Drosophila melanogaster: one gene and its partner. The protein of the gene in region 1 interacts with the protein of each later gene in a pairwise test. Each region holds a gene or a part of one and is shown on either strand. Other genes may lie near its edges.

Evidence for each region. The genes of interacting proteins can lie anywhere in the genome.
Region 2: the proteins of CG13272 (region 1) and CG11269 interact in a two-hybrid assay, tested with the Drosophila melanogaster proteins (one large-scale study listed by BioGRID).

The regions. Positions count from the first base shown.
Region 1 is NT_033779.5:16,802,629-16,807,930, forward strand, and holds the start of CG13272 (uncharacterized protein), read left to right. Parts: upstream 1-2,255; 5' UTR 2,256-2,634; intron 2,635-4,687; exon of another isoform or gene 4,688-5,151; intron 5,152-5,302. Other genes in the region: CG13280 (uncharacterized protein), read right to left, coding at 1-238, 296-575, 643-1,047.
Region 2 is NT_033778.4:22,136,936-22,139,862, reverse strand, and holds CG11269 (uncharacterized protein), read right to left. Parts: upstream 969-2,927; 5' UTR 922-968; coding exon 598-921; 3' UTR 568-597; downstream 1-567.

The sequences.
Region 1 (5,302 bases):
CCCATCCTTGCCTTGAATAACAGCCTGGTTGCTCAGCTTCTTTTCGGAACTGACCTCGATGAGGGCTCTCTTTCCGCGCGTGAAACACAGTTCAATGTCGGCGGACACGTCCACATGCTCCGAGTTGACCCTGCCACTGACCTTGAGGCAGCGTGGTACTTCTCGAAACACCCACAATGCCAGCTGCATACCGTAGACACCAAAATCGTTGGTAACTCCGCCGTAAAGTCCTAGTCTCCTGCAAGTTTGCTGATGCAGTGTGTGCTAAATGTGTCATCTACGTTTAAAATCTTACCCCTGTGAAACGGGCAAGCCCAAAGTGCAATGGACTTGCTTTATCTCTCCCAAACGGTTTCGCAGTATCTGATGCCGCAGGTAATGATAGGCGGGCACGCATCTTGGCCACATTCCCTCCATGAGGAACAGGCCGCGCGCCCGCGCCTTCTCCAGCAGCTTGGTCACCTGCTCCTCCGTCATGCAGAGCGGCTTTTCGCACAGAACGTGCTTGTCGTGGTTCAACATCAGGTGGCACAGCTCCGAGTGTTGTGGATTCAGGGGAGAGATGTACACTACATCTGCGCTCGAATAAAGTTATCAGTAGGTAGATGCTTCACAGAATGTAATAGAATGTAATAAACTCACCGACATTTGGACACTTGGCCAGATCCTCGAAGCTGGTGTACACGTTCTCCACCTGATGGCGCTCGGCGAAGGCGAGCGCATGCGACTGATAGGCAGCCACGCAGGACACGATGCGATGGTGCTGCTCGGGCAGGACACTCAGCGCCGCGGCAAAGTCATCCGCCATCAGGCTGACGGGTGCGATGCCCCAGCGCAGCGTTGGACCCTCGTCCACCACCCAGACGCCCCTTTCGAGGATCCCCTTCGAGGCGGCCTTGGAGGAGGGAAACCGATTGATGTGCAGCTGGCGTGGTCGGTGTCGCCACATATTGTGGTCACCAATATCGCAGCCAACGAATCTGAATCTGCCCCGGCTGCCATCCGACTTGCCTGATGAACTTGTGCCATGACCTGTGGGCAGGTGATCTGCGGAGCGGTTAGTAGGAGGTATTACTCACTTCGACCAGAGAAAACTGCACTTAGAGAAAATATGTTAGCAAAGTGTTAACAATTGTTTAAAGTCACTTTTGAAGGATCCCAAATTAAGATTTAATATTGGTTTTAAAAAACTACTTAAGTCAGTAGCTATTCATTTTGTTGAATATTTCTATTTATATTGTATTAAGTTAGTATCATATTTTTCAAGTGTACAACTGCTGGTGACGATCGGTATCTACTTTGTCGCGTAAAACGCATTTCATTCATACAATCGAGCGCTTTTCCACGAATTGGCGAAATTGCGGGTGTTGGTTTTGGCCGCCGGCAACCGGTCCGAACTGCGCTCCATCCGTGGACATGGACCGTGGACCATCTACGTCGAAACCGAGACGACGGGCGCATTATGTGGCGCTGTTTAGTGCGTCAGTTCCTCCATAATTAGTCATATTTGTTTAGCATCACAACTTGTGAATGACTCGCTGCCGCTGGTTGCAGCTCAGTCAGGTTTTTAAGCCGCTTGTTTTTATGTTTGTTGTGTTGCTTTTCTTTTACATTTTGTTGGTGTCGATATTGTTGTTTTTTGTTGTTGCTGTTGTTGTCGTATTGGCCTGGTCCTGGCCAAGTTGGCCAAGTTGGGAGCTGCCTGGGCCGCGCACTTTGCGCTTCGTTCTGTCCGCATTCGAATTTCACTTTCTTTTTTAGAAACTAAACATCGGACTGCTTGTGTATTTATCACCGCACTGCCAGTCGAATGAGTCGCTGCACTTTGATAAATACATTGATAAATAATTTAAAAAAAACGCATCTAACCTAATCAAAATTCGATTAATTACCAGCTTAACAAGTACTTAAGATGATATTTAAGATACTATTTAAATTCAAAGTGCATTACAAATGTAGTAAACATATATTTGCCTTGCATATTTCTTCTATTCTTGTGTATGATAGAGCATATAAAATTCGGTTTTTTCCACAGCTCAACCTGCCACCTTTCGCGGCTTATTTCACTTTTCAATAACTCGAGTGCGTGCAACAATGTACGGCAGCGAGTGTCCGCTTCTGTGTGCGAGTGTCGATGGTGCGTCGCAACAAAAAGCAAAAATTTGTTTATCTAATTAGCAATGCGCCGGGCGACGTCTTTTCGGGGCGGCAGTGCTTTTCACCTAATTTTGCATGCATGGCAGGCGGTGCAAGTGGCAAGTCGATGGCCGTAGAAATTGCCCTAACCCCAAATGCAAAGCGATAAAAATATGTGCGAGCCGCGTCTTCGTTTGGCCAGTGAACGAAAGTGTTCTATGGGTGTGCAGACGCTCCAAAAAAAAAGGAAAAAAAAAAACTGCTGAAAACCAACCAAAGTCCAAAATGAGAAGAAAACACAAACCAACTCTCGCCCCGTGCCGGAAATGTCTTTGTATAAGTCATTGCAAGTGCGAGTGTGTGTGTGTGGGTGAAATTATGTGCCAGTGAAAGGTTGCCTAATTTCTGTCATTAAGCTACACGGGCACGAGCAGGACATAGAAATGCACTCAAAAACATTGAGACAACATTAGATCGATCAGAAAAATATATATATAAGTTATCTTGATTATGTTAAAGAATTTTATTGGAAGTTTTTAAAATAAGCCTTAATAAAGGATGAATTTATGTACGAAAGAAAATAATCCTAACCGCATCCAAATTTATTTATATTTAATTTATTTATTAATTAACTTCCTCGAAATGTTTGTTGTAACCAAGAGCCACTAAACTCCTGGAAAATATGTTTAACATTGATTGCATTCCTTTGCATATTGTTTATAGTGTAGCAGGAAGTGATGGGCGGGGGGTGGAGGGGTACGCGACAAGAGCTGACAGCCGGAGCACACAAATTTGCCATGCGTGTGTGTTTTGATGACTCTTTCCCGAGAGCGACGACACGGCGGAGACGACATGTTCATTAAAGCCGTAGCAGCGTCATCTTGGCCGCCATCAGTTGCCGGTTCCTCTGGTGCACCGACAAAGCAAATAAATACTAAAATTTGCATGCCTGCAACATAAATCGTCGCAAAATATTAAACAAGTCAGCAGCAACAGTTGAAATCAATAAATTTATTGATACAATTTACACGGCCGAGTGGGCTGCCAGATAGCTGGCCACATGCAACATTGGCCGCATGCAACAACACATGCGCTAATTAAGGGGGTTCCCACTTGCTGGCGGGGGTGTCTTGGCAAATGCTGCACTTGAGATGGCAAGATGGCCTTGCAAGTGGCCACTGAACAAGTTAACGAGCCTGGCCAAATGACCAACTGACTGAGGAAATCCAATTGGTGATTTCAAGGCGGGAGAAAAGGAGGAAAACAAATTACCGTGGGGGGATTTAGTGAGTTACATTACAGTGATTTGCGATGATTTGGTCCTTACTCTGACTCGATTTCGCATCGGAGAAAAACAACCGTAATAAATTAAAAGTCATTTGACTTTAATTGTTAACTAATTTCGATTGCATTTAGTAATGTGAAATTAATTAAGTTGGTTTTTCATTCCTGAAAATGGGCCAAAAGCGTTGAATTTACTTAGTTCTTGTCAAAGTTTTCAGCAAAAAGAAAACAAGGGAAAAAAGAAAGTGGAATGATTTGCAAACATTTAATGTTCTGTGACGACAGGTATTTAGGAGTGTGGCTAGATATTTGCGTGTTGTGCCATTCTAAGTTTCGAAAGTCATGCGTCAAGTTCGTTGCCAGAGTCTTTCGATTTGCCTTACGCTTTTTGTGCGATGTTTTTGCAACACTGCGCCTATTGACACCTTCAACATGTCGAAAGAAAAGGGGGACAAAGGGAGGCTCTGTGGCCAGAAAACAGCATAATCTTTCCGCAGCCGTTGCCATTGCTTTTTTTATTTTATTTTATTTCTTTATCATACTGACGAGTTTCGTATGCATGTCTGTCGGCTTACTCTAATCTTCCCCTCAACTACGCACACGCCCAGCAGCAACAGCAACGCCAATTGACAGCCAGTCATGTCATGACTATTGCCAATTGTTTTTGCTGCCCAAAGCTTTTAACATATTTTACGACCCGATTGCCAGTAGAAATTTATTTTGGATGTTTGCTTTTTATGCAACAAGTGGCAGCGAAAGTGTAAGTTTTAGGGTATAGAACTAAAATGATATATTCCTTTGGATTTTAGAAGGAACCTACTTCGATGTTGGCAATAGAATTTTATTTAGTCTTTTTTAAAATCGAAATTTCTGCAAATATCGAAAGATAATAAAATCAAACCTAATCAGAATTCTTGGCTAGCAGCGGTAACATGTTGCAGGTAGTGAAAAGTGAGTCTGCCTTTGGGCAACGACTACAAACAGGCAGCAACAAAAGCGAAAAGACGACAACTTTGGTGACGAAGTCGACGGCGCTGCCAACTGCGCTGGCGACGCGTGTCTTTATGGATTCGCTTTGGCCAAAAGCGTTGGTCAAAAGCGTTGCGACGGCGGCAACACCACGAAGACAAGTGCAGGCTCTTTGCTTTTCAGCTGGTTCGATGTACCTGAAAATCTCAGCCGAAGCCGAAGTCGAGTTGCTGCCTGCGTCGACGACGCTGCCGCTTTTAACAGTTTCGAATTTTAGTTTTGGCCAAGACCACGCGAAATCAGTTAACAAACGGACGCGTTTCGAAACGGATGCACTGGTTGGTGGCACTGGCAAAGCGAAGCGAAACCTGAAGCGCCTGAACCTCTGGCTCCTCCATAAAGATCCCAGGTTTTGTCCCAAAACCCGAGGCCGTGCGAATGTCTGTCGGTTTCGGCGGCAGAAGCTCGAAGAGCTGCTATCTTCATCGGTCGCGCTGGTCGCTTAAAAGTGAAATTTACTGAATGAAATGAAATGTCTTCTGGCCAGCCTCACTGTCTGGCCGATTGGCTTTGTGTTTGATTATTGATTTGTGACTATTGTCGGCAAGGAAGCGACTGCAAATTAGATTGCCGTTCCAAAAGGATTAAGAAATAACCTACTACGAGTACAAATTATAAAAGACTTGACTCGCGGAACCGCTAAAATATTTGTTCCTGTGCCAGTGACATTGTCGATTGGCCAGTCGATTGGCCGGGAAAAAGGTGATGTAAGATCCTGCATAGATTGTGTAAGCTTGTGAAAGTGAAAGAACAAAAGATGTGGACGATTATTTTGAACAAATTTAATAATATATAGAACTAGAAAAACTAATGGAAATCTTAACTTTCAAAGGAGAAAAAATGTTTTTTTCAG
Region 2 (2,927 bases), on another chromosome or scaffold:
TGCCAGATCTCCAAATCAGTTAACCCGAGTTCCCGAAAAAATGAGTAAATGCAGTGAACCAGTTTTCAGCAGACTGCACTTGGTTGGTGGTGATAACAAGCCAGATACACAAGCGTACAACTAGAAAATCGTGTACGATAATTTACACAACGGTTTTCGTGTAAGACACAAAAGCTCGGTCGATAAGAACAAGATACATAACCCCGGTGTAGACTAGACTACGGTATAGAGGTGAAAGGGGGGGGAATAGCCAGAACTGGGAACCCACACCCCATTCCCATTAGCATGTTTCGGAAAGAGAATTTCACGGAAATTTATGATGCCCAAAAGAGAACACACCTCGGTGAAGGTGTCACGTGCGCTGTCAAAAATCGGTTGGTCCGAGACGAATGCATAATGCGGAGTGGACAACAGTCAGCCAGACTTGAAATCGAAAAGTGGCTTGGCGATAAAGAAGTTAAGGCTAATCGCAGAATGCGGTCAACAAACTGGTTCTTTCGATCTTTCGAACCAACAAGTGGGTGGACGTCGCTGAGTGGGTGAAATGCAATTGGAACCATGAAAATAAATTGTTTATTCAATAACCAATCATACAAATCAACGACGGAATCGCAAGTGACCGGGACCCCGCTTGTAGAGTCGCTTCCTTCTCTTGTTATCCCGACGAATGGCCACTATCGCAATGAAGACGAATCCCAGATAGAAAACGGCGGCTACAAAGCACCGTGTGGACACGTCCTGGTAGGCCTCGTCCGCCTGCTCCTTGAAGGCCTCCTGACTGGGGAAGTGGTGGGGCAAGGGCAGGGACTCCAGGAGCATCAGTGACTGGACGTAGAAGAAGATACCCAGCAGATTCAGCATCAAGAAGCCCCAGGCGCTCATGAACAGGCAGAACAGACAGCACTTGCGACCACAAAACATTTTCAAGCTCGATTCAATTCTATGCGAACTTTGTGCGACAGTGTAGTCGAGTGTTGCTCTGACCGCAACAGGTGCCAAGTTTAAGCCGACTTCGAAAGCGAAACCGAATCCGAAATCGAAATCGGAATGTATTGGACCACATACTATTCATCCATCTATCTACATACGCTCGTACACAAGTACAACCTTGTGCGATTTCAGCGGCATTAGATCAGAGTGGTCGGAATATGGAGTTCACGTACCCGTGCCTCTCGCTTTCGGCGGCGTTGCGATTGGGTTTGTTCAACTCGAAATGGCTTAGATTCGGATTTGATCTTAGCCAATGATGGACAACTGACAGATATATCATTTGCACACATACATATGAGTATGATATAGAAGCAGCTCAACTTATTAACACTTGAAAAGCACGTCAAAAAAACGATGTATACAATATACTTCAGAACATCAAGCTTATGCAGAACGAAGACCTGCAATATATTTGATATTTCAAATCAGTGGCTGCATTTAGTTCTGCGTATTTATATATCAGAAGTGATTTTTAGAGAACTGAATGTAGGCCATGCCAACCAAGTAGCTGATTCATTAAAGGGCAGCCTCTGATTTGAATTCCCCTTGTGAATCATGCTCAAGAAATTGCAATAAAAATAGCCAACTAAATAAGTTTAAGCAATAATTAGCACAACTTACCGTGAGTGGTTGATGTTCTCGATAAATCCGCAGAGCAACAAAATTTTTGCCACACTTGCAAAGAAGAAGCAGCAGAAGAATTCACAATAAAGTTTTTACTAGTTTCTTGAAACTCCGTTACAAAACATCAAGTTGTTGTGAAAATTCGTAAGTCGTTTTCGCGGTTGCTAAACCTTTTTTACACTCTGTTGTTTTACTAACGTTTCCTTTATTATGTTTGTTTATGCGAATTGTCGTTAGTTTTATGGGTTACTAGACACGATTAGAGAGAAATCAAAAATTAGGAAAATTAAACAGAATTGATAAAATATTTTTTACTTATTGCACCACGTGTTGCAACTTGAGACATAATAGGTGTCAGCTCTAATTGAGTAAATATGTTTTGCTGGTAACTTAAGCTGCGGATTTCGTACAGCCACAGAAAATGGGGGTCAAGTCCATTAGGTTAAAACCCGATCCCCAAGCGAAAGACCTTGACATTAGGGCGGTTGCTCACTGAACTTGGTAATATCTTAAGTGTCTCGAATTCCCTTTGCGCAAATCAATCAACTTGTCTTATGAGAGCACGAAGAAAAATGAAAATAAGATCACTACATTTTTATTTAAATGATATTTCATAGCTTATTGATATATTTCTAATGAGTATTAACCTAAAGTTTGATCTTATATTTCAAGAGACGGATGTCAAAATATTATTCTTCGCTGATTATTTTCTCAGTGTGGGATTTCAGTTACAGTTATATGGTTGTTATTTGCCTTATTTGCTTAGCACATTCTTCTTTACAATCACACAGACACTTGCTTTGATTTGTGTATTCGTTTTTGTTGTAAGCGCAATTATCAGTACAAACATTTATAATAAAAAAAATTGCAATTTCAACAAAAAAAAGTGTTTAGCTTTCAGTTTAACTTTTAGCTTGAATTTGTTAATGTCTTCACTGAATTTTATTTGTGCTTTATGAAAATATAATGTACACACTGATAAGAGAATAATTCATTTTATGCTATAATAATTCACTTTATATATTTATTGTTTCTCTCACGTTTGTGATTCGCTTTGGGCATTTGTTGTTAAATCGGTTTGTTTCGCACTTTGGGACACTTCTCGATATTTAAACATAACATGTTTTTACGAATTCGCTTCTCGAAAACCGGTATGCAAATCCAAAAATCACCGCAATATATTCAAAACTATTTAATTGTATTTATCGAATTCTTCGTGCACCTTCACTTCGAGTTCTCGACTCCGATGCGACCGCCGCGCTACGAAAACAAAGATTGAACACGAGTTGCCTTGCGATGTGGCTTAAATAGTT